Linked DNA regions of Xenopus tropicalis. The protein of the gene in region 5 binds, or shares a complex with, the protein of the main gene of each other region. Links are inferred from orthologs where the notes say so. Each region holds a gene or a part of one and is shown on either strand. Other genes may lie near its edges. The genes, in order: ppp1r7, phactr1, rb1, wdr82, ppp1ca, tox4 and mras.

Region 1 (4,132 bases), on a different chromosome or scaffold from region 5:
TTCCCATACACTCACCCGCAGCCGGTTAGAGCCCAGTTCCAACAAGCGGAGCTGCGTTAGGGTTCCAAAGTTTTCAATGCGGCTGATCTTGTTATTCACAAGGTAAAGGCGCTGCAGGTGAGACAATGACTCCAATCCTTCAATGCGTCTCAGGAGGTTGAAAGAGAGGTCCAGGATTCTGCAAGAGAAGAATGAAAGGCAACACAATCAAAGTAATTTCTCTTACTGAACTCTGAATGAGGTCAATGGAAAGCTTGGCTTTTGACCAACTGTGGTCAGATTTACCAAACACTCAGATAAAATTATATGTGTGTATATAAGTGATCAACTAATTTAAGAACAGCTTAATAGACATAGTTTGACATTGCTTACTGGAGATCTCTCAGGGTTTCCAGGTTCCCTATCTTGCGGATCTGATTGTCATACAAGTCCAGCTCAGTCAGTGTTACCAATTGCTCCAGATTTTCAATCAGCTTTATCAGGTTCTGGCGCAGACAGAGAGTCTACAGATTTAATAACAGAACAATGGTCAGAAAACTAACTTTCTTCTTTCTATGGATCTTTTAAAAATCTGCTATAAATATATTATTTAGGGTGTGGCACCATTTATTAAGCCACCACATTTATGAGTCATGATGGGAGATGCTAAGGTTAACGGGTCCCTAGTACTGAGGAATGTATAGAACTTGCTTGGCTGGCAGGTTGCTGTTTGGGGCCTTTGTGTACATGAAATTCCGGATGAACTCGGGCATAATAAATGGAACCTCAAAACCTAGCATAGTGCATATTTTTAGGAGAAAAATACTTCCTTTTAAATTAAAAACAGAACACTGGGACAGATTCAGTGTAAAGTATTACAATATGATATAATTTCCTTGACAGGATAATACACATTAAGTACAACATAAGCACTATATTTTTTTCATATTTAATCATTTACCTTGACTTTCTTGAGCACCTCAAAGCCTTGAATCTTTCCTATTTTAAAATGGTTCAGGTCAACATCCTGGAGAAACCATAAAAAAAAAAAAAAAAAATCACATTAAATATCAGGCAAATAAGATGACAGAAGTAGTACTAGTCCAGGGGGAATCGGGCTAGTCCATTATCATAAAACAAACTCTACTGCTTTTCTGCAGCTATTTACACAGAGCTTAAATTTAAAAACCGCTGTTTCCAACAACAATTCCATGCCCCACCGATGATATATTAAAGAAACAGAAAAGAATGCTGTTAATACCTCGGCTTCAGGGTCCAAGTTAATGGTCTCTATATCCACTGGTGCATCTGCCTCTCCTGAACATAAAGGTCTCAGTCAGAATGATAAACTTATGAAATACAACGTGCACTTTAATTACAGCAAATATGTCAAATACTGGGATTGACACAAGCCCATATGTGAATGGCATGTTATTGCAGCTGTATGTAAAAACCAACAAGTAAGCCAGCCACTATTAAAGGACATATATAGTCTATTTTACAGTATTTTTTGACAGGCTGGTGCCCTTTAAGTTGCTGGGACATTAATTGATCTACACCATGCAGTGTGTTTATTGGCAACATGCGGTGTGGCACAGGCCAAAGAACAAAATCAGGAAAAGGGTTAAGGAGAAATGCATGAAACCACCTGTGATATTGAGTGTACTGCAAGCGACCTTAACTGCTGGAACAGCCAATGTGTTATGGCCAAAGTCTTGTACCAGTGGTGACAGGCGGTTGCCATGAAATTTAATGACAGATGGCACAGGCAGTTTTGGACATTTCCAGCGGTGGAGAATCACTGGTCTAAAATATGTCCCATGCTGCAAACAATGCCTATGCCTGACATATCATAACTACACAACCAATGAACTATTATGAGAAAGATATAGAATTACCTAGTGGCACTTCACCATTCTTCACCCCTCCATCCACACGATCTGGCTTTTCCTTTGCTTCATCATCAGCAGACTCATCAGATTCTCTTCTGTCCACTGCAAAAGACTGTAGTCTTACCCCATGCCGGCAGTCAACAAAGTTGCAAATGTTTACCTTAAGAATTTATGTCCAGAAAGCTAATGTTGCATTTAAAGGGGAAATTGACTTTGAATGACGCGACTCCTTTTCAACAGCACGTGACTGACAACTGATGTGTAAAAATCTTTACACTATTTGTGCAAAAGAAATCTGTACCCACACTGGCTTGGGTGCAATGGCAGTTCCTGCTTACATGCCAAGACACTATACTATCTGCTTTATGGAATTATCACACTCCTTCCATGTAGAGAAGGTTACCACGTCATGTGAGAATCCTGCATGATAGGTAGGTGTTATGTTTATTAGGAGTAGCCATGATTTTTAAAAATTATTTGGTAACGTAACTATGCATATGGCTCATGTGTCCCTGGCTCTCCCCCTAACCCCCCCCCCCCCCCCCCCGGTGTGTGTGACAGTGCCAGCCACTGATCGAGCCAAGGGGCCCCTCTGCGTTCCACCACATCCTACACATCGGCCCTTCCTGACATGCCCAGCGTTAACCCTTTCTTGGCTACAAGACACGGAGGAGAGAACTAGTCATACTTAGGACTCCTTCAGGGCTGTCACCCCGAGCTTAGGCAACCATTCCCTATTCACCTGAGATCCCCCGCCTCAGTCACCCCTACTTTGCCGAACATAACACTTACATGGCTAATATGGAAACGCAGTGCATGGTGTATTAGCCCATTAGGAACACTGAGAACACAAGGAGAGGAACAGTACTGGGAATCCTACCTTCCATCTCTTGCACTTCAGTCTCGCCTTCTTCATCCGCCATTATTTCTTCTTCCTCTACTTTCCGGAAGCATAAAGTAGAACCAATCAGTAGCGGCGAAAGGAAACGCCCAGCCAATCAGGGTAGGGTTGGAGACTCCGCATCCCTTGAGTAGGTGCGCTTGGGTTGCTAGGCTGTACGGCTATTCATAGAGCGCTGCCGCTGTACAACGTAGGTACATGCTGTGTTTGCTCTAGGAGACAGATTGCCCATCCTGTAACCTCATATACAATGTTTGATGTAAGTGAGCGTTTGACTAGTGCTTCCTGAGTGCTTCCATTACAGAGTCTCCAGGGGGTGGCTGGAGGTGATGGTTATAAAGGGTTATAAGATATTTATCTAACATTTACCAACACTGCAAACTTGCTCCTGGGCAGTAACCCATTGCTGCAAATCAAATTGTTGCTGTTATTGGTCTACCTGCAGCCAACTGAAAGAAAAAGCTAATCATTGAATGGTTGCTATGTGTTACTGTTCAGATGTAAATCTGCCCCATGTTGTTAAATGAGCCCCTGTGAGTATAATGGATGTATGTCTGATAGCCTTTAAGCAATATATATTTAATAATGCACCCTTTACTGTAAAATATAAGGATATTATAAATGTAGATTCAAGCTGCCAATTCAAGTTCTTCAGACTGATTCGGCAGCTTTTCTGCCCATATATGGTGATCCCTGATTGGCCTCCCCAACCAATATCTGGCAGAAAATTGGTCAGGTGTCAATCGAGCAGGTTTGATTTTTCCATCGGCTCACTGGTGCTGCCCTAGCTCTGATGGCTCCTTTACCTGTCCTTGTAATTCGATTCCATGACTATATAAAAGCACACATCCTAAAGCCTCTTGTTTTTTATATATGTTCCCCCTCAAGGGGGTGCTACATCAAAAGCAAGTATGTACAGTATAGCCTCCTCTCATCAGCGTATGTAACCACTTTTTGGCTGTAAAACAGATAATGACTATTAGCTGCATTTAATTCTAAAATTCCAGTGATTTTATGCAGGCATCAGTTCTAATTATCTATTCTCTCTTCTTTAGTTATCAGAAAAAGATTCTAAAACTGTTTTCCGAACTGGAGCCAGGCATTTACATCAAGTATGCTATCTATGGTTGGTAGGTGGTAATTATTGGCAAAAGGCCCATGCGCTAAAGCAGTGATCCCTAACCATTGGCCCGTGAGCAACATGTTGCTCCCAGTGGCCTCAAAGCAGGTGCTTATTTTTAAATTCCTGGCTTGGAGGCAAGTTTTGGTGGCATAAAACTCAGATGAACTGCCAAACAGAGCCTCATGTAGGCTTCCAGGCCAAATAGGGGCTACCAAATAGCCAATCGCAGGCCTTATT
Region 2 (3,500 bases), on a different chromosome or scaffold from region 5:
CAGCTATATAATATTAGTATTTTCTATCTAAGCATCTGCACCATTAACCAAATGTTTTTCTGTAAAACAAAAATTATGACAGCTTTCAGGTACCTAAATGTTGATGCTAGAGAGAACTTACATTTATGGTTTACTCTTTGATCGACATTGTGTTCACTGGTAACACACAGTACAGCAAGATTAAAACCCAGGATATACAGGACTGTCATGCCATTGATATGGGTGATAATAAAGATGGCCATACGCAGGCAGATTTAAGCTGCTGATTCAGACCGATTCAGACTGATTCAGTAGTTTATCTGCCCATGTATGGGGTCCTCTGATGGTACTATCTGAACAATATCTGCCCGAAAAAAGACCAGATGTTAATTGGGCAAGCTTGATTTTCCCGCTGGATTGAGCACCTCAACAATTTATTGATGCAGTCCTCTCCCCGATGGCTCTAATTCCCTTCACTGTAATGTGATAATTTGGCCCTAGGGAAAACGATTAAATTAGAACGATAAGGCCCATTTTACGTTGGCATATCGGGGCATAGCTTATTTGGCTACCTCACCAAATAAGCAGATCTTATACTGTATGGCCAGTTTAACTTGTGTATCTTGCTCCAACTCCCCATTGTTTGGTCACCACTGAAAATAGACTCATTGTAACATAAACATTAAGACTGTGAGACAATAAAACACAAGAAGATGACTTTTACTTACCTTGTTAAATGCCTACTTAATTCATGGACTTCCATTTCTGTACTTTTGAACTCATTAAGTTCTTTACGAATAGCTGCCTGTTATAAATATAAACAGTAGACAATTGTGTAAGTGGTATTGTTTCAATATGTCTCCACACATGGGGGAGTGTTAACATTGGAGCCAAATATCACTGGTGATGTTGGTCATAGCAACCAATCAGCAATTAGATTTGGACAGTAACCTACAAGTTAGAAAAAAAAGCAAAGTTCTGATTGATTGCTATGGCCAACATGTCAATAAATACACCCCATAATGCGTTCAAATGTGGAAATTAAGGAATTGTAAGCAGTAAAATTTTTATCCTCCCCATTCTATTTGCCTTCAAATAGCAGAATAGTAAATGCAACTTGCCAGTTTAGTAAATTTACACTTAACTAATTTGCAGTAATTATTTTTGGCAAACATATTGTGGTCTCTTTTATTATATCATTGTTTTTTGTTAACCAAATGAAAAGCTCAGTAAATGCTGAATAATGAGTAAAAAGAGGCACAAACTTTGTCAGCGGCTGTTAGTCGAGTCCATGGTTTGTCTGCTCTTCTATCGTAGTCCTGTGCATCTGCCACCTCCACATAATCGCTGAAACGTATAAGGATTTTTTTCTCTCGTAGTTCTTCCACTGTGGGCCTTTGACTAAGCTGCAAAAATACATATTAATAATTATTATTTACCTTTCCTGGGTCTAGTACAATGGAATGCATATGATAGAGACCTTTGGTCTCAGGAAAGATGATCAGACGCAGGGCCGGATTTCCAAATTGGCCGCCCCGAGGCCGCCCCCGGTCGCACGCATCCCCCCCCCCCGAGTGGGCATGCGCGATACAGGGGGAGAGGGGTTTGCGTGCGCAAACGGGGGGCGCCTTGTGCGCGCATGCGCAGTGGGCCAAACTTGGATACGGAGCAGTGGGGAGAAGTCCCCCCATTGCTCCATATGGGTACAAAACTTTTTAGATTTTGGTGCGGCGGGGCGGCATGCCGCCCCCAGGTTTCTGCCGCCCTAGGCCCGGGCCTTTGTGGCCTCTCCACAAATCTGGGCCTGATCAGATGCTTGTGGTTTACCACCTTAAACTGTAGTCTTTGGGATGTGCACCTGAACCCCCACATTTCTACTAGTAGACTTTGACCTATTTGGCTTTAGCAATATATACTTTATTTTTCAATAAATCAGTCTTTAAAAATCCAATCTAAACTTGTTTGTTTCTTTTATTATTCATAAAGGAGAAGGAAAGGTAAACACTAAGTAAGCTTTATCAGAAAGGTCTATGTAAATACAGCCGTAAGCACTCACAGAAACGCTGCACTGAGTTCTCTGCTAAAAAAAACAGGATTTGTTGTCTCTTTGTTATCCTGTGCCAGAGACACGCAGCTCTCTCCTCTATCCTGCTCCCCCCTCCCTCAAGAACTCACTCCCCCCCCCCTTAGGAATGTGTGATCTAAGGCAATCAGCAGGAAGCTTCCTCATAGTCTTACAAACTGCGCATGTACACCGGTCTTGGTCTTGGTTCAGGAGCGAGGCATTATGGGAAATTTCTTTACAGAGCTCAGCGGTTTTTTTTCCTATGAGGCTTCTGATCATCTGAACTGGAGAAATATGACTTAAGGGCACTATTGAGAGAACTGAAGGTATGCCTGCAGCTTGAGATTAACTCTTTATTGGCCTTCCTTCTACACCTGCTATTATGTATAGGATTTATCTAACTGCTGTGATATTGGACTTTCTTACCAGTAGCCATGATGCCAGCTGCCACTGTGCTGCTTTTATGGGGATTATTAATATGCATTAATGCTATTTAGCACATTATTTACCTTGCGTGTCAGTCTTCTCTTAATCTCTCGCTTTTCTTCTTGTTCCTCTTGCTCATTTCGAGCTGAAAGTAATGTACAATATTAGCAAATCCAAACTTAGCCATTTATTTTAGTATTACATTCTGCAACTTGTGTGTGATAATTGCACATTTCTCTAATGCCAAAACACTGAAGCCTAATTGGAGTTTAGACTGCACACAACTCCTATTTCCTTTACCTATTAGCTACTTCTTCTGCCACTTGTCCACTAAGTAAGCCATTCTTTCATCTTTTCAATGAGCAGAAACTGTATGTTTTGAAAGCTGGCTCCTTCTTTTCTTTTGCAAGACTAAGTAACTGTCCACATACCTTCAATGCTTAGGCACAGCCTAGCTAATTACCTGAGGTTTACTACTCATGTGGGAAAAATGATAGGAATCTCTATGGGTTGCAGGAGAGGCCAAAGTGTCTTATACCAGAAGAATTTATAACAAAGGCACTGCATATGTTACATTTCCATATACCAATGCAAAAGTCTGGAATCAGTCTACTTTATGGCTTGCCAGCCCTTGAAACCCCAAAGAACTTCCTGAGGTGAGCATTATTCGAACTTGGTCTAAGTTTTTAAGGGTTTAAATGGAAGGACAAAGCTACCAAGCATAGCCAAGTGAGGGCTTCAGGATTCCAAACAACAAGCCAAGGTCAGGGCAGAAAGATTCTACAATTCCACACTTGATATGTCACAGCTTTCTTCCAGCCATGCAGGGTCACAGTGGCATAGGTCACCCATTATGGTTGTGCACCACAGCAGGGACAGCAAGGAACTGGGAAGCTGTAGGTAAGTACAGAGCCCCTAACAGTGCCTGCCTTAAAGTGATACTGACATGAAAAAACTAATTTTTAAAATATGAACCTACACAAAAAGTTACCTATATGTCATGGTGATAATTTTTTGCTGATAGGGCTGC
Region 3 (3,500 bases), on a different chromosome or scaffold from region 5:
TTAGGGCCCCAGTAAAAAAACAAACCTTAGCACTATGGTATACACTCGGGAGAATTACTTGATTCCTCTTTCTGCACAAAAATTAAGAATGCTCATGTATACTAACAATACTTTTAATGGTAGACAAGTAGGTGGCAAGATCATTTTGGTAATATTGTGTATGTAGAGCATGGGCCAACTAAATAGGGCTTGTAATGAAAATGTATTCTGCTTATGGTTTTATCTAAACAATAAAAAAAAAATTATTTTATTTAATTATTGTTAGGTCTTATTATACAACTCCAGGTAGAATGCATTACCTATACTTTAACAATGAACAAGGAAACACATGCCCTTTTCTTCTCTGCAAATTAATTATAAGTAATCATGGAGTGTGACAAAACAATAAATATATTAATACAGTACCTGGTCTAAATGTCTGTCACGCATAAGTTCATATTCATGCTGTAGTGTGTGCTGTAAAAGTGTCCAGATCACCTGTTCAAGTTCCGGATGGTCAGAGAGAAGGCTGGAACAGAGACTGCTAAGCCGCTTATATGCCAAAAGATACACTAGATTAAAACAGGAACAGCAATTACCACAAAAAAATAAAGATAATACTGTCACGGCAATACAACATTTTTGGTTTATATATATATTTTGCACAAACGTGATATTCATTGGAGTGGATTGAGACTAAAGCTTTAAAATCTCAGTTGCAGAGGCCTCTCATGCTCTGTGAAAAATTCTGGGGCTTTAGGAATAAATTTATATTCCAAACAATACTTTTAATAATCATTTTGTTATCATTATCATTCTCCTTTAAAGCGATCGTTTTCAAATGTAGTACCTTCTGTAATATTCTTTACCCCAATAAGTGCCGTGCATTAAAACAAAACCAAAAATCATACCTTTTTTGTAAAAGAGTGACAGTGAGGTTGATTTCTGCTGAACTGGTTGTGAGGGTGAAACCTGCCCATTAGTAACAGATGAGGTGCGCACACTAGTTACAGGACATTGATGGGATGATCTTGAAGGTGAGAGATACCTAAACATTACAGAACAAAAAACACAAAAATATACATGGGTTCATTAATTACTTTGGGTCTTCGCCGCCCCCCCCCCACCCCAAAACAAGAAAAGTAATGCAAAACTCTAACCAATTAATACATTAATGATCACCTCATCACAAATAGACACATTTATTTTTGCATGAGCCAAGTATTGTAAACTACCCAGGCAAGTGCCAGCCAGGAGTATCAGGTATGAGATTAAAGTCTCTGGGGGTGCCTAACAACTTGTCCTTTAGGGCAATGACAGGCTGCGTTTTGTTGCCACTTACAAAGCGCCAGAAAATATTTAAAAATGCCTTTGTATGAACTTTTGAGCATTTACACAATTTGAATGTTTTAGCAGAGACAATTCCCAGTACTGTCTATGGCAGGGTTTTTGCTGGTGTTGTGTAGCTACGACAAAACACAGGCTACAAATAGCACCATGTGACATTGCCCTTAAATTTGTCTGTCTGTATGTATAAATTTGTATAAAACTGTCTGTATGTATGTATGTATGTATTTATGCAGCACTGTACATTTTGATACTATAGTGTGAGATTGGTTCTGCTGCAGTGCGGGGAAATTTGTGTGACTGTAAGCACTGGTGTATGTGCAAGCAGGCCTGAACTGGCAATCTGTGGACTCAAATTCCAGAGGGGCTGCTGTAAGATGTGGGTCTCTGTGTACTTGAAATGCCAGGGCCTATTTTGAATCCCAGTCCAGGCCTGTTTTATTGTGTTTATTTTTTTTTTATTGTAAGCTCTTTTGAGCAGAACCCTCTTTATCTCTTGAATCAGTTGTTGGTTGTTGTTGTATTTAATCTGTTACATTTTTAATATTGTGTATATTTTTTAGATTGTAAGCTCTTTTGGGCAGAATCCTCTTTACCTCTTGAATCAGTTGTTGGTATGTAATCTTGCATGTTCAATGTATACACGTATTTAATGTATGCTCAATGTATACACCCATTTACTGTACAGCACTGCAGAATATGTTAGCGTTTTATAAATATGTGTTAGTAATAATAATATTTCGCTTCTTTTCCTGCTTCCCATAAATAAAACATAAAGGACAAGGGAAGGCTAAGTCACTTGGGGGTGCCAAAATGTTAGGCACCCCCAAGTGACTTAAATCGCTTACCTTGTACCCCGGGCTGTTGCCCCTGTTAGGAGAAAACAGCACCAGCCTGGGGTAGCTGCAGCGCTTCCTCCTTCCGTCTTCGGTTGCGCACACGAAGGTCGCGAGAAGTCTGCTTTTCACTCTACTGCACATGCGTCTGTCGTTAGTCCTTCCAAAACGAAGGAGGAAGCGCACCCATACAGGTACCCTGGGCTGTTTTCTCCTAACAGGGGCACCAGCCTGGGGTACAAGGTAAGCGATTTAAGTCACTTGGGGGTGCCTAACATTTTGGCACCCCCAAGTGACTTTGCCTTTCCTTGTCCTTTAATTTATAACTGGATATCTACCATCTTGTTTACTTGCAGACACAATTTTTTTGCCAAAACACCATTGTATTAGATACTTGATGCATGTAATACTGGTATAGTATTCAAGCAAAATATATTTGTGTATTTAGGCAAAGTTATTCCATGCCGGCTTCTGAGATACAGAAGCCCAAAACATCAATGTTCAGCCTATTTTTTGAAGTTGTTCACACACTTTTAGACCAAGCGTAAGCGGCATAATGAATGTGGCCAAGATGCACCTGCATTTAGCCTCTAGGTTGGTGCCTCTTATTCAGTGCTGGTCTCACCTCTGTGGTTCATATGTAATGTTACAGCAAGCCTCACATAGTATTCGCAGTGTGTGATCATGATTTGGCATAGAGAACCTCACTGCAGTGTCCTATCTATTAGATTGTGTAGATCAGCAGGAACATTCATGGAAGCCAATAACAGAAATAGTTGGTACATGATTTAGCAGGACTAGACAAAAGAAGGACATGTCAGAATGATGCCTTAACAGTTGTAGAGCTGCATGTGTCAAAGTTTTTTTTGGACTATTTGTTAACAGAATCCCCAGTCACCAAGTCTCTTTGAAATAAGAGCAAATAGTTTGTTTTCAAAGGAAACGGAACTGCTTTTATCTCATACCACAGGCTGTAACATTAGGCATTTTTTCTCAATGTGAATGGCTGGGTGCTGTAAGATACATAAAACTGCAAAACAATCTCATGTATCTGTTTCTAATCTTCTGATTATTTCTGGAAACATTTATCCTTTAATGTATAACGTATATACTTGCAATAATATTCTCCTACTTCGATACAGGAAATATAGGGACTTCCTTTACTGTAAATACCCCCTATCTCTACATTGGGTTTACTTAAAGGAGCAGTATGTCACCATGGGTTCAATAATTAGGGCTTGTGCTGAACATACGTTTTTTCCTATTATTTTAATAAGTGCAAGAACTTAAAAAAAAAAAAAAATACAAAATCAGAATCTGAAAGTTAAGTCACATTCC
Region 4 (3,194 bases), on a different chromosome or scaffold from region 5:
GGGAAACTTATCTTAATGTCAACCAATGGAGGCTTCCTTCGTCTGGTTGATGCTTTTAAGGGGGCTGTTATGCACACGTTTGGGGTGAGTAATTTTTTTTTTCATTAAAATGGCCTGAACAGGTAGAGCCCTTATGACTTCTTGTCATTAAACTTACTGCTGTGGAATATATTTGCACTTTATGATGAATACGTTACTAAATAACAAACTTATAATGAATTTTTTATTAGGGCTACAACAATAGTAAGGCTGTCACCCTGGAAGCTACCTTCACTCCAGATTCCCAGTTTATTATGATCGGTAAGTTAGAAGAAAACATTTATTAATATCCCAACTATTGTGCAATATCCACTCCTCTCACTGGTTCATCTCAATCTCTGTAGGCTCAGAAGATGGCAAAATTCATGTTTGGAATTGTGAGAGTGGTATGAAAGTAGCAGTGCTGGATGGCAAACACACAGGTCCTATCACATGCCTACAGTTCAACCCCAAGTTCATGACGTTTACTAGTGCTTGCTCAAACATGGTAAGCACAATCATATTCTTTGGTTGTTATAACTGGCACTTTATACAGCTATTGTTGCATTATCAAGTTATTAATGTCTTCTTGTAGGCTATGAAGTCCCAAAGTATACAGTTTGTGGCTAGCTTTAGAATCTATGAAAATCCTGTGGATAATTGATTCTAACAATCTTACATTGCAGGCTTTTTGGCTACCAACTATTGATGACTGATGCATACAGAGAAGCTGGCATTTGTAAAAATCCCATTCTTCAGCTATTTTCCACAAATAAATCTTCACAATGCCCGGATATATGAAGAACAAGAAAATGGTTATTTTTTTTATTCTTCCATAAAAATACCCCAGTATTGAGCCAACATTTCTCTTTGCCAAAATAAGAACTGTTCTTCGGTACATATCAAGATTTATGAACTTCTGTTTTTTACCTTCATGTACTGGGCACTTATTTTGTGGAATGGTGTATATATTTTTGTCATGTTTCTCCTGACGAACCTGTATTTGAGACACATGCTACCAATCTCTCTTTTTATATCCTTTATATACGCTTCCATCTGTATTTGTTCTTTGGAGCAGGATTTAAATGTTCACTATGGTAAGAATCCACACCAACCTTGTTACACCAGATATTACACCAGAGGTAGATTTCATGGTGGATGACGCACTAAATAACCGGCTAAACCAGATTCTATTTAGATACCCTCTCTGTCCAGAGTTAAAGGCTGGCAAGAAGCTACATCTGTTATTGTTTTGGTTAATTTTAAGAGAAATTTTATTAATGCAGTGCTCCTTCCTTATAGGCTCTCTCTCCACACCTGTAGTTACTGCCACAAGTATTACACAGATGTGCATCAAATCTACACAGACATATTCCTATAACACAATCCCATGTTACCAGAAACAGCAATTTTGACTCCTTCATGCAGTTGATTTAAACTGGAATTGCTTTATATCATTTATTATTGATTTCTGTGTTTCCTTTGATTGTTGAGAGATGCTGGATGTGTTTAATAGCCAACGGGCCGCAGGTTAAGCATTGTCCATCTGTTTTCTATTTCAAGTCAGTACTGGTAGCTTTGTGGGGAATTTGCTTATTAGTGCTGCCCCAATTTGTTTAGATCAGGATTATGATTCTTTCATTAATTGGTTAATCTATTTGGTAATATAATTCATAAGTAGCAGAACAGTATATATTGCTCTCATATTCTGTAAGCAGCATTATTAAACGGGCATTATTAAACTGGCACTAGTATTAAGAACTGCCTGGGTTGGCATCCACACTACCAGCACTGCATTGGCCTGGCTGGCATAGGACAAGTAGCTTCTTTCTTGCCCACAGACAATCGTAGCTAGCTGAAAGTGAAATACGTAGGTTAAAGGGCAATCCATATATACCACTGAATTCAGCTTTTAAGAAAACATTATGTGGTTAATAACCTTGTTAATAGAGGACCCAGGAAAAGTCTGGGATCTGTTTTGTGACCACAAATTGGTTGGAAATCAAATATACACTTCATTTTAATTACTTTCTGTTGTTCATTATCTTAAAATGAGTCACATAAACATACCAAAAGCAGCATTGGGTTCTTAACCATAGATTAACAGTTCCTGTTGGGGGAATGGTGATATTGTTTGCCTCGGTAAAATCACTCTACATAGACTAAAAAATAGCACAATCTAGGAGTCCTAGTTAATGTTGGTTTGCTATCAGTATAATAGCGTTATGTTTTATTTATATAATAAAAAGAAGCCCCAAACTGTCATCTTAAATTAAAATTAATGCAATACCCTATTTGGAAACTAGGTGTGTTTGGCCCTTTAAGATCTTGTGTCAAGTAAGCAGTAGGTGAAAAGATTTTACACTTCAAGGAAATGTGTATTTTACAGCTCCAGAATATGATAGTTTATTTTTAACCACACAGAACCTTTTTAAAAAAAAAAAATAAACAAAAATATTGTATGGTTTCCTCATGTCAAGGAAGCCTCATAAGCAGTATTCAGTATTTCAAAATAAAGATATTCCACAGCATAAAGGATTTATCTCACTGTCTCATATACATTTGAGGATTGTGCATGTAAATAAGAAATGGATTAAACCATTACTGGGGAGCTAAGCAGTGTGCAGCTGTTTCTTGTAAATTATGTTTTTTTACATAAATAAAATATTAAAACAACTATGTACTGTTTTATTTGAGTAATGTGTTTAATATCTTTAATGCCCAATACACAGATGGTAAAAGTGCACTTGACACCAGCATGTCAGAGCACGTTACAATTTGGTATTGTGTCTTAAATAATCAGATTACTCTTTCCCCTTTTAGCAAACCTGTCTCTCTACATGCAGCATTGTCGGTTATTTTGAAAGATAGCTCTTATACATTATCTAGGCAATGGGGGTTATGACCAACGATGTGTTTGACTTAGCTGTCCTTCAAAATCTGTCCTTCAAAATCTCGTGCATGTAGAAAGGCATTGCTAGGAAGGGGATAGTGAAGAGTTATTCAATTATTTCATAAAACTGTGTAAAAGTTTTGATTATATTCAGAATGTTTTATTTCTATGAGATAAAGTTTATATTACAGTTTCACTATAGTTCCCCTGTTATACATTGTGATGGCCTATTAATAACCAACATATTAACTTGATATATAGAGAATGTCCTGCCCTTAAAATA
Region 5 (2,509 bases):
TAACGGGGCCCCCCCTCCCCAGTTCCTGACTGGCCTGTTCCTCCCCCCCTACAGTTAAAGGCTGCCGCCCTGGGAAGAATGTTCAGCTGACGGAGAATGAGATCCGGGGGCTGTGCCTGAAGTCCCGCGAGATCTTCCTCAGCCAGCCAATCCTGTTGGAGCTGGAGGCCCCGCTGAAGATCTGCGGTGAGTAGGGCCCTGGGTGCCGAGGCTCCGCCTCTGTGTGTAGCTGCGGATCTGATTGGCTTCCCTCTCCTCCCCCCAGGGGATGTGCACGGTCAGTACTACGACCTGCTGCGCCTGTTTGAGTATGGGGGCTTCCCCCCCGAGAGTAACTACCTGTTCCTGGGGGATTACGTGGATCGGGGGAAGCAGTCGCTGGAGACCATCTGCCTGCTGCTCGCCTACAAGATCAAGTACCCCGAGAACTTCTTCCTGCTGCGCGGGAACCACGAGTGCGCCAGCATCAACCGCATCTACGGCTTCTACGATGAGTGTACGCGGGGGCGGGGCCAGGCTGTAACCCACGGTAACCAGTGCGCTCCCTAATGCCCTCTGTCTCCCCCTGCAGGTAAGCGGCGCTACAACATTAAGCTGTGGAAAACCTTCACCGACTGCTTCAACTGCCTGCCCGTGGCCGCCATCGTGGATGAGAAGATCTTCTGCTGCCACGGGGGTGAGTTCCCTGCTGCCCCCATCCCTCAGGGCTCGTCTGGGCAGCCCAAATGGGGTGAATACACACCCCACACCTTCTTAGCCAGTGTGCCCCCCCCCCGGGAGCCCCAAACCTTATACTGTACAGCCAGTGTGCCCCCCCCCGGGAGCCCCACACCTTCTTATACTGTACAGCCAGTGTGCCCCCCCCCCCGGGAGCCCCACACCTTCTTGTACTGTACAGCCAGTGTGCCCCCCCCGGGAGCCCCACACCTTCTTATACTGCACAGCCGGTGTGCCCCCCCCCGGGAGCCCCACACCTTCTTGTACTGTACAGCCAGTGTGCTCCCCCCGGGAACCCCACACCTTCTTATACTGTACAGCCAGTGTGCCCCCCCCGGGAGCCCCACACCTTCTTGTACTGTACAGCCAGTGTGCCCCCCCCCCCGGGAGCCCCACACCTTCTTGTACTGTACAGCCAGTGTGCCCCCCCCGGGAGCCCCAAACCTTATACTGTACAGCCAGTGTGCCCCCACCGGGAGCCCCAAACCTTATACTGTACAGCCAGTGTGCCCCCCCCCGGGAGCCCCAAACCTTATACTGTACAGCCAGTGTGCCCCCCCGGGAACCCCACACCTTATACTGTACAGCCAGTGTTCCCCCCCCCGGGAGCCCCACACCTTATACTGTACAGCCGGTGTGCCCCCCCGGGAGCCCCACATCATCTTATACTGTACAGCCAGTGTGCCCCCCCGGGAACCCCACACCTTCTTATACTGTACAGCCAGTGTGCCCCCCCATGGAGCCCCACACCTTCTTGTACTGTACAGCCAGTGTGCCCCCCCGGGAACCCCACACCTTCTTATACTGTACAGCTAGTGTGCCCCCCCATGGAGCCCCACACCTTCTTATACTGTACAGCCAGTGTGCCCCCCGGGAACCCCACACCTTCTTATACTGTACAGCCAGTGTGCCCCCCCCATGGAGCCCACACCTTCTTGTATTGTACAGCCAGTGTGCCCCCCCGGGAACCCCACACCTTCTTATACTGTACAGCTAGTGTGCCCCCCCATGGAGCCCCACACCTTCTTGTATTGTACAGCCAGTGTGCCCCCCCGGGAACCCCACACCTTCTTATACTGTACAGCTAGTGTGCCCCCCCGGTATACAGTTGTGCCTACTCTGGATCCATCAGAACCTGCCCCCCCCCCCCCCACTCACATCCCCATTTGTGTTTCAGGCCTCTCCCCCGACCTACAGTCCATGGAGCAAGTCAGACGGATCCTGCGTCCCACCGATGTACCGGACCAGGGGCTCCTGTGTGACCTGTTGTGGTCGGACCCGGACAAAGATGTGCTTGGGTGGGGGGAGAACGACCGCGGGGTCTCCTTCACCTTTGGGGCTGATGTAGTAGCAAAATTTCTTCACAAACATGACCTTGACCTCATCTGCCGAGCTCACCAGGTACGTCTGCTCCGCCCATTCCTTACTCCTCTCCCACCCCAGGTATGTCTGCTCCGCCCATTCCCACCCCACGGTACGTCTGCTCCGCCCATTCCTTACTCCTCTCCCACCCCAGGTATGTCTGCTCCGCCCATTCCTTACTCCTCTCCCACCCCAGGTATGTCTGCTCCGCCCATTCCTTACTCCTCTCCCACCCCAGGTACGTCTGCTCCGCCCATTCCTTACTCCTCTCCCACCCCAGGTACGTCTGCTCCGCCCATTCCTTACTCCTCTCCCACCCCAGGTATGTCTGCTCCGCCCATTCCTTACTCCTCTCCCACCCCAGGTATGTCTGCTCCGCCCATTCCCACCCCACGGTACGTCTGCTCCGCCCATTCCTTACTCCTCTCCC
Region 6 (3,931 bases), on a different chromosome or scaffold from region 5:
GAGCACTTAAAACATGCATTTAATAATACTAATACTTTTTACATATAGAATAAAACAATCTTATATAATACATCTTAGCAATGCTGTAGCACCCACATTTTGTTAGTGTGTCTCACCTTGCTATACCCATACACTCCATAGAGAGGCTGAGAGTGGAGCAAACCTGGCATATCAATGGAGCATGGAGCTCCCTCATCTCCTGTAAATAGCATGTGGTGGCCAGGGAGGCCCCCATCACTGCCATCTGTGTCCAAACCAGAAAATAGGTGTAGGTCCATGAGTCGAAGAGCTAGCCCCCTACAGAGCACACAACACTTCAGTTACACAAGGGATAATGACCTCAAGCACAGATTGAACTATAGCATCAACTATCCCAAAGCTAATGACTGAAGAAAGGTTGAGAGTTGCACAGCAAGAAAGCTACAGGTTAGATTCTGATGAGTCTGTGGGAAGCAAAACCTTTCACTACCTAGTAACACAACACCCAACAACAAACACCACAATTTGCAAACCATATGAAGCCTACATTATAGTTGAATGAAACAGTCTATGTTTTGAGGAGCACAACATTAATGCAAGCTGTGTAATGCAAAGATCAGGTAAATACATAGGGGCAGATTTACCAAGACACAAACGCTCGGAGCGTTCATTCAAACGCTCTGAGCATATTTTCATCTAATTTTCCTGCTGTTTACAATCGCTCAGTACGAAAATTTCGTGACTTTCGAATTGCCAATACGATATTATCATGACTAATATGATTTTTCCGTAAGCATATTTGTGATATTTGCGATCTTCAGAAATGATCGTATCCAATCCGAATTTATCCCATTTGGGATTCGAACTCACGTTTTCATGAATGTGCCCCATAATTATGTGACACTAAGGACCGCTGGTCTATCTGAGGCGTTAAGCACTCAATGGTAGGTCCCAATTTCATGGTGCCAAACAAAACCACAAAGCCAACACAAAGATAGGCACTCAGTTCACGAAACAGGCAAACCACAACAAGGTTTTTTCTCCCGAAGGAAAGAGGCATCACCAACACAAAGTCTATTGATCCTCAAATCATGCAAATTCTTAAATTTTTTCATTTTGTGGTCTAACATTTAGCCAGGACCCCTCAGCTCATAACAAGAGGGCAGATACATGGGATCTTTTATACAGAAACCCGTTATGTAGAAAGTTCCAAATTACGTGAAGGCCATCTCACAGACTGCATTATGAGCAAATCATTTTTAAAAATTAGAATTATTTCATTTTTCTCTGTAACAATAAAACAGTACCTTGTACTTGTTCCTTACTAAGATATAATTAATCCTTATTGGAGGCAAAACAATCCTATAGGGTTTATTTAATATTTAAATTATTTTTAGTAGGCTTACGGTATAGAGACCCAAATTACAGAAAGACCCCTTATCTTTTCCCATGACCAAAAATACACTTTTTGGTCACTACAGGGCGGCTTCTTAGCCTGCAGATAAATGGCAGAGGCAGAGAATTCGCCCGTACGCTTCAAGAAGCTTATGGACGTGCATGCACCTGTAATCGCATCAGTCCACAGGCACCGGATTTCCCTACAAAAACTGCAAGTATGCAGTTACGTGTGGAAATCCACTCTGTGTGCAAGCAGAGAATCCACCCCGTGTGGCAGGAGCCTAAGTGCTCTCATACTTCACTGCATTAACTTGAGGGAAAAAAAAAAATTGTATTTTAAGGGAAGTCACCCTTTTTTGGAACAACAAAAGCAATTTTTAAATACGCATTATGAATCACATCAGAGTTATTTACAAAGTACTTGCTATTAAAAGCAGAATCTGTCTGTTTTCTGCACTGCTGCTTTTGCTTTCAATTGTAATTACATTTACAAATAGCTTTAAATTAATTGAAAATGTTTAATTAATGTATAGTGAAATGTTTAACATCTTTCATTATGCAACAAAAGTTGGAGAGATTCCCCTTTAAATTGATCACACCCTTTTCTTTATTCCATTTTTCACTTCATGTCTAAGTTAGCTAACTAAAGGTATAATTTCTCTATATTTTTGCTCTGATCAATGGTTAGCACTCTGCTTGTATGAAAAGACCAAAGAATTTTCCTGTGAAATAAAATGCTGCACTGCCTCCTATTAAAACAAGTTACAATGACAACTGTTACAGCATTCAATAATTATATAAAAGCAATATTTTATTAATCACAGAAACATTGCTGCTAATTATGCAAACACTTCTGAGGCTGCTGCTGCAGAGGGGGGGGGCTCCTTTGCTTTCATGTATCTGTAACCTTATTATGAACTAAGGGGCGCTCTGGCCAAGTTAGATCTCATGCATGAACTAAGAAACTCAAACAACCACTGTCCAGTGAGTGAAGAAAGAACATGTAACTGATCTATTACAGCATCTTGCCATATAAAAGTAAATAAACCACAAATGACCCTTCTCTGGCTTCTGAATAACAGCATTCATCTCTATAACATTTTACTATTAGTGACACAGACAATAACAAATAGAAGCTTCCATGTTAATGCTGGCAGTAAACAAGCTGTTTCACCACAGATACAAATAATAATAGTAATTTCAATTCACAGTACAAGGAATGCAAGTCTTCTATCAGGCACATCACTCTCAAAGAAACACATTACTTATCCACAACCCCATAGCCAATATAAATATTCAATTGACAGGAACCTGTTACCACTGAAACGAAACCCCCAACACAACACGTTCTGAAGAAACTATAAGTATTGGCACCAGGGGATTAGAGATACTTGACGCACCGCGACATAATAACAACTACATTGTACGATCTTTAAATGCTACACGTTTTCTGTGTTTGATCCGCAGGAACTATAGTTCCCTTCTCGCCACTTCATTAACCTGCTCTAATGGCCCACATAATCTGCGTTTTGAAAATCACCACCAACACGCATACGGAATCAAACTAGCTGTATACCGCGTTAAAACCGAAACTAACACAATAAAATACGTAATTTACCCAACTCACCTCCATTTTCACGGCCTGAGACTCTTCTTCTTTTCAAGCACACTTCCCCGCCTCTACAAAGATGGCGAGACATCCGCTTCCGGTAAAAGCAGCGAAGCCATATTGGTACAGTAATGCTGCTACTCATTCCTCCTATAGTATAACAATAGGATGTGAGGCAGCCATAGAGACTATTCATTAGAATGCTACACGTATCGAATACAAAAGAGCGAACATCCGGCTTAGTAAAGAACGTCGCTACAAGCCGTACACCAGATAGAGAGTCTTTTCCGGAAGCAATAGAGATGAGACTGCGTGGCAAGAACGTCTCTCTGGGAGCTCTAGTTAGAGTAAGGCAGTTCAAAGGAAGCCTCCTCCCCGTAATCACCTGCCTTGGTGGCTCTGACGATTGCCATCATGTCGTATGCCTACCTCTTCAAGTATATCATTATTGGTGATACAGGTGCGTACGTATTTTAAATGATTTTATCTATCGGTTTACGAATATTGGGTGCTATTATTATGCTCTTGTAACCTTGATGCTTTTTAATTTTATTTTGTGTATTAAATATAAAATCATGCATATGCTAGCATAAAATGAGAATATTCCGAGTTTATGTACAATAATATATTATTTTTAAATAGCAGCTCTTGGTGTTCTGTTTTGCAGATGTTTTTCAAATTTGTATGCAATTACAGATTTGTGTATATGTATATATCTTTGTATTTATACAGGTAATGTTAGGAGCCACATCATTAAATATTATAGAGGCACATTGCAATTTGTGTATCACTTATAACAGTGATGGGTAGTTTTAAAGCTGAGTTGCCAGAGCCCCATATTTTCTCCATGAATAATCAGAAAGAGTGCACATATTTCATGTTAGTGATAATGCAATACAATGCATTTTATTACATTAAGAGCCGTATTTCCTACAGTTTAACTTT
Region 7 (3,987 bases), about 87 Mb from region 5:
CACAGGCCATGCCATACAATACACACAAGTATAAGGAAGGGTGCTGGGAGTTATAGTTTGGCTAATAAAGAACAGCCCGTGAGTACAACTCTGGGGACACAACCTGCAGCACCAAGGTGCCCAAAACGACCTATCACAGACTTGAACGGACATCACCTGACAAAGCCCAACGCTTAGTGACACAGTCAGAACCAGCAGTGACTGCCACCTGTGTCATAGTGATGTCACGTCAATTTCTCATGATGTCACACTGTACCGGTGGGACATGCCCCGCCCCCCATCCACAGCATTCACTCTGCCTAATTAGTACACCATTAAGATTCATGCTGAAGACTACACTGGATTCCGCGCAGCCATGCCTCTAATTAGCCCATGTAGTGAGTGGATTATATAGGGAATGGGGTTTATAGTGGAGAGGAGACAACTCCCAACTCCCACAGAGGGGCTGATGGCTAAGGGTAGGTGCCTGGTGAGTGCAGAGCTCTAATACACAGTGTTACTTGCCCCACCATACACATTGTACCTACTATACACACACGTTACACCCTGTGAGACTTCCATGTAACAGGCATGTAGTGGTACCGCTGATACTGTGTAAGGAGTGTTACTGGGCTGTACACAGAACCCAATAAAGGCAGATCCAGACCCAAAGCTTTACCCCCTCCCTATTACTGATATATATATATATATATATGCACACACACACACACACACACACGTGGGGGTACAGTACATGCGTGCCCTTTGGGTGCAGACTGGCACAGTCCCTGCTAGGCACAGAAAGTGGGTTTGGGGTACAGAGGGTTCAGGTTACAACCAGTGACTGTGGGGTATATGCAATGGGTATGGGAGTACATACAGTATCTTTGGGGTAAATACCATTCAACATATTTGGGGGGCACATACAGCAGGTTTTTAGTAGGGGTGCTTAAAATCACTGTAGGGTTCATACTGTGAATTTGGGGTACACACAGTGGGTTTGGGGTGCACAAAATGGGCTATGGATACCTAAAATCCTTATGAGGGTCATACTATGAGTTTAGGGTGCTCACAGTGGGTTTGGGGTGAACACAGTGGGCTATGGATACCTAAAATCCTAATGAGGTTCATACTATGAGTTTGGGGTGCACACAGTTGGTTTGGGGTGCACACACTGGGTCTGGGTATAAACACTGGGCTAAGGGTCCTTACAATCCCTGTGGGGTTCATACTGTGGGTTTGGGGTACATACAGTCACTAAATGCTCTATTCAGTGGGTATGGGGTACATACAGTCACTAAATGCTCTATTCAGTGGGTATGGGGTACATACAGTGGGTTTGGGGTACATACAGTCACTAAATGGCTAATCAGTGGGTATGGGGTACATACAGTCACTAAATGCTCTATTCAGTGGGTTTGGGGTACATACAGTGGGTATGGGGTACATACAGTGGGTTTGGGGTACATACAGTCACTAAATGGCTATTCAGTGGGTTTGGGGTACATACAGTGGGTTTGGGGTACATACAGTGGGTATGGGGTACATACAGTCACTAAATGGCTATTCAGTGGGTTTGGGGTACATACAGTGGGTATGGGGTACATACAGTGGGTTTGGGGTACATACAGTGGGTTTGGGGTACATACAGTCACAGAATGCTCTATTCAGTGGGTTTGGGGTACACACAGTGGGTTTGGGGTACATACAGTGGGTTTGGGGTACATACAGTCACAGAATGCTCTATTCAGTGGGTTTGGGGTACACACAGTGGGTTTGGGGTACATACAGTCACAGAATGCTCTATTCAGTGGGTATGGGGTACACACAGTGGGTATGGGGTACATACAGTGGGTTTGGGGTACATACAGTGGGTTTGGGGTACATATAGTCACAGAATGCTCTATTCAGTGGGTTTGGGGTACACACAGTGGGTTTGGGGTACACACAGTGGGTATGGGGTACACACAGTGGGTTTGGGGTACACACAGTGGGTATGGGGTACACACAGTGGGTATGGGGTACATACAGTGGGTTTGGGGTACATACAGTGGGTTTGGGGTACATACAGTGGGTTTGGGGTACACACAGTGGGTATGGGGTACACACAGTGGGTTTGGGGTACACACAGTGGGTATGGGGTACACACAGTGGGTTTGGGGTACACACAGTGGGTTTGGGGCACATACAGTGGGTTTGGGGTACACACAGTGGGTTTGGGGTACATACAGTGGGTTTGGGGTACACACAGTGGGTATGGGGTACACACAGTGGGTATGGGGTACACACAGTGGGTTTGGGGTACATACAGTGGGTTTGGGGTACACACAGTGGGTATGGGGTACACACAGTGGGTTTGGGGTACATACAGTGGGTTTGGGGTACACACAGTGGGTATGGGGTACACACAGTGGGTTTGGGGTACATACAGTGGGTTTGGGGTACATACAGTGGGTATGGGGTACACACAGTGGGTTTGGGGTACATACAGTGGGTTTGGGGTACACACAGTGGGTTTGGGGTACACAGTGGGTATGGGGTACATACAGTGGGTATGGGGTACACACAGTGGGTTTGGGGTACATACAGTGGGTTTGGGGTACATACAGTGGGTATGGGGGGGGAGAGCCAGCCCTGTCTGCCTTTGGGGTTTCTGAAGTTCCCCCTGGATCAAAGCGACCCCCCCCCCCAGTTGGCACTGCCCTAGAGAAATACCTGAGCGGAGGCCTCCGGGCCGGACTAAGCAGGGCACAGACTCATGGCAGGTACCAGGTGAGCAGCGATCCCGCAGCCTCCACAGAGCAATGCCGCCTCCCCTCCGCTTCCCACTCTTTATATTGCAACAGCTGCTGCTAAAAATAGATGGTACGCGGGGGTGCCTCTCCCTCCCCACGCAAGCCCCCGGCCTCACCTGTGGGAGACACCCCCCGAAATGAACCCCTACACCCACCGTAAGGTTTATAATCCAATAATGTGCCACTAACTCCCTGCTGGGGGCCATACTAAGCTTCCAATGTATTCCCCTTACAGCGATCCCCCCTCTCGCACACAATAGACTGTTCCACGGGCTGTACCAATAGTAGGTCACTGTTAAGGTGGAACGGCATTGTGACAGGAGTTGGGTCTGACACCCTGACACAGACTATGCGATTACACGTATAGATATGATCCTCCCATACTAATATCTAACACCATCAAAATGCCAGACTTCAGTTGGCCCCATGAAGGCAGATACATATATGTAGAAAGGGGCCACCTTAAGGAAACCACTCCTTGTAGAAAGCGTTCCATCTGTCAGTGACTGTGAGGCTGCCCTTATGGCATCGCATTGGATTGGCCAACTGTCTGTGCCAGGTCATGTGACACCCAGCTGGCACCCAGAGGTGCCCTGATACACTCACAGCCCGGGGCTCCGGCGTCACTGGCTCTGTCTCTCATGTCATCATGTCCCAGCAGCCTCAGCGGCCCAGCACTGCAAGGTATCCCATAACCACTCATAATTATCTCTCTCTTGTCTAAATTGTAATGGCTTGGCCAATGGATCTCTCTATAACTGTCTCTCAGTAATAAGTGGCTCTCAATGGACCCTCTGATTAGGAACATGAAACTAATAGTTGCTAAATCTACAGCTGGGCCATTAGAATTCCAGAGAGGGGTCATGGTTGGTCCCTGTGTAGCGCTAAGGGAAACACTATGGCACCTCCTACCCATATGTATAAATACAAATATACAGGGAAGGAATGTTCTGGGCACACAATAAGCTGTACCCCCATACTGTACTGTCTAAGGGAAACACTATGGCACCCCCTACCCATATGTATAAATACAAATATACAGAGAAGGAATGTTCTGGGCACACAATAAGCTGTACCCCCATACTGTACTGTCTAAGGGAAACACTATGGCACCCCCTACCCATATGTATAAATACAAATATACAGAGAAGGAATGTTCTGGGCACACAATAAGCTGTACCCCCATACTGTACTGTCTAAGGGAAACACTATG

What was found.
Region 1: the proteins of ppp1ca (region 5) and ppp1r7 are in contact, whole or in part, in a crystal structure (PDB 8U5G), measured with the Homo sapiens proteins. The link is inferred for Xenopus tropicalis from reciprocal best matches to the Homo sapiens genes PPP1CA and PPP1R7. Residues at the interface, in NP_002699.1 of Homo sapiens: Arg23, Pro24, Leu40, Arg43, Arg96, Gly97, Lys98, Ala128, Ser129, Ile130, Asn131, Arg132, Ile133, Tyr134, Gly135, Tyr137, Asp138, Lys141, Arg142, Ile146, Lys147, Trp149, Lys150, Asp154, Asn157, Pro192, Thr193, Asp194, Asn271, Cys273; in NP_002703.1 of Homo sapiens: Asn84, His85, Tyr86, Arg87, Arg106, Gln107, Leu109, Tyr128, Asp129, Gln131, Asp148, Ser150, Phe151, Phe170, Val172, Glu192, Gly194, Ser195, Phe214, Gly216, Lys217, Ser236, Gln238, Ser239, Tyr258, His261, Ser283, Glu300, Trp302, Asn304.
Region 2: the proteins of ppp1ca (region 5) and phactr1 are in contact, whole or in part, in a crystal structure (PDB 6ZEG), measured with the Homo sapiens proteins. The link is inferred for Xenopus tropicalis from reciprocal best matches to the Homo sapiens genes PPP1CA and PHACTR1. Residues at the interface, in NP_002699.1 of Homo sapiens: Pro24, Arg43, Gln68, Tyr70, Asp71, Arg74, Tyr78, Arg96, Gly97, Lys98, Ala128, Ser129, Arg132, Ile133, Tyr134, Gly135, Tyr137, Asp138, Trp149, Lys150, Thr153, Asp154, Asn157, Lys168, Ile169, Met190, Arg191, Pro192, Thr193, Asp194; in NP_001309240.1 of Homo sapiens: Arg424, Lys425, Ile426, Leu427, Ile428, Arg429, Phe430, Ser431, Asp432, Tyr433, Val434, Glu435, Val436, Ala437, Asp438, Ala439, Gln440, Tyr442, Asp443, Arg444, Arg445, Ala446, Lys448, Pro449, Trp450, Leu453, Lys458, Ile461, Arg462, Glu464.
Region 3: the proteins of ppp1ca (region 5) and rb1 are in contact, whole or in part, in a crystal structure (PDB 3N5U), measured with the Homo sapiens proteins. The link is inferred for Xenopus tropicalis from reciprocal best matches to the Homo sapiens genes PPP1CA and RB1. Residues at the interface, in NP_002699.1 of Homo sapiens: Lys168, Ile169, Asp242, Leu243, Phe257, Arg261, Met283, Thr288, Leu289, Met290, Cys291, Ser292, Phe293; in NP_000312.2 of Homo sapiens: Lys873, Lys874, Leu875, Arg876, Phe877, Asp878, Ile879.
Region 4: ppp1ca (region 5) and wdr82 share a complex: the UniProt entries of both Homo sapiens proteins name them as parts of the PNUTS-PP1 phosphatase complex. The link is inferred for Xenopus tropicalis from reciprocal best matches to the Homo sapiens genes PPP1CA and WDR82.
Region 6: ppp1ca (region 5) and tox4 share a complex: the UniProt entries of both Homo sapiens proteins name them as parts of the PNUTS-PP1 phosphatase complex. The link is inferred for Xenopus tropicalis from reciprocal best matches to the Homo sapiens genes PPP1CA and TOX4.
Region 7: the proteins of ppp1ca (region 5) and mras are in contact, whole or in part, in a crystal structure (PDB 7TXH), measured with the Homo sapiens proteins. The link is inferred for Xenopus tropicalis from reciprocal best matches to the Homo sapiens genes PPP1CA and MRAS. Residues at the interface, in NP_002699.1 of Homo sapiens: Pro178, Asp179, Gln181, Gln185, Arg188, Ile189, Met190, Pro192, Thr193, Pro196, Asp197, Gln198, Trp216, Gly217, Glu218, Phe225; in NP_001078518.1 of Homo sapiens: Val6, Pro7, Ile31, Gln35, Lys36, Ile37, Val39, Asp48, Ser49, Tyr50, Leu51, Lys52, His53.

What each region holds. Positions count from the first base shown.
Region 1 is NC_030681.2:125,950,176-125,954,307, forward strand, and holds the start of ppp1r7 (protein phosphatase 1 regulatory subunit 7), read right to left. Parts: upstream 2,801-4,132; 5' UTR 2,795-2,800; coding exon 2,752-2,794; intron 1,974-2,751; coding exon 1,878-1,973; intron 1,297-1,877; coding exon 1,241-1,296; intron 1,007-1,240; coding exon 941-1,006; intron 504-940; coding exon 373-503; intron 179-372; coding exon 16-178; intron 1-15. Other genes in the region: pask (PAS domain-containing serine/threonine-protein kinase), read left to right, coding at 3,887-3,902. UniProt on the Homo sapiens protein: Regulatory subunit of protein phosphatase 1.
Region 2 is NC_030682.2:91,700,389-91,703,888, reverse strand, and holds part of phactr1 (phosphatase and actin regulator 1), read right to left. Parts: intron 2,616-3,500; coding exon 2,554-2,615; intron 1,386-2,553; coding exon 1,245-1,385; intron 785-1,244; coding exon 708-784; intron 1-707. UniProt on the Homo sapiens protein: Binds actin monomers (G actin) and plays a role in multiple processes including the regulation of actin cytoskeleton dynamics, actin stress fibers formation, cell motility and survival, formation of tubules by endothelial cells, and regulation of PPP1CA activity.
Region 3 is NC_030678.2:135,009,316-135,012,815, reverse strand, and holds part of rb1 (retinoblastoma-associated protein), read right to left. Parts: intron 1,028-3,500; coding exon 891-1,027; intron 552-890; coding exon 406-551; intron 1-405. UniProt on the Homo sapiens protein: Tumor suppressor that is a key regulator of the G1/S transition of the cell cycle. The hypophosphorylated form binds transcription regulators of the E2F family, preventing transcription of E2F-responsive genes.
Region 4 is NC_030680.2:128,235,988-128,239,181, forward strand, and holds the end of wdr82 (WD repeat-containing protein 82), read left to right. Parts: coding exon 1-84; intron 85-230; coding exon 231-300; intron 301-383; coding exon 384-526; intron 527-704; coding exon 705-734; 3' UTR 735-2,694; downstream 2,695-3,194. UniProt on the Homo sapiens protein: Regulatory component of the SET1/COMPASS complex implicated in the tethering of this complex to transcriptional start sites of active genes.
Region 5 is NC_030685.2:492,457-494,965, forward strand, and holds part of ppp1ca (protein phosphatase 1, catalytic subunit, alpha isozyme), read left to right. Parts: intron 1-54; coding exon 55-186; intron 187-265; coding exon 266-496; intron 497-571; coding exon 572-676; intron 677-1,894; coding exon 1,895-2,118; intron 2,119-2,509. UniProt on the Homo sapiens protein: Protein phosphatase that associates with over 200 regulatory proteins to form highly specific holoenzymes which dephosphorylate hundreds of biological targets.
Region 6 is NC_030677.2:141,990,591-141,994,521, forward strand, and holds the start of tox4 (TOX high mobility group box family member 4), read right to left. Parts: upstream 2,801-3,931; 5' UTR 2,786-2,800; coding exon 2,778-2,785; intron 298-2,777; coding exon 117-297; intron 1-116. Other genes in the region: rab2b (ras-related protein Rab-2B), read left to right, coding at 3,401-3,446. UniProt on the Homo sapiens protein: Transcription factor that modulates cell fate reprogramming from the somatic state to the pluripotent and neuronal fate. In liver, controls the expression of hormone-regulated gluconeogenic genes such as G6PC1 and PCK1.
Region 7 is NC_030685.2:87,979,977-87,983,963, reverse strand, and holds the start of mras (ras-related protein M-Ras), read right to left. Parts: upstream 2,801-3,987; 5' UTR 2,695-2,800; intron 1-2,694. UniProt on the Homo sapiens protein: Signal transducer in the Ras-MAPK signaling pathway that regulates cell proliferation and survival. Core component of the SHOC2-MRAS-PP1c (SMP) holophosphatase complex that regulates the MAPK pathway activation.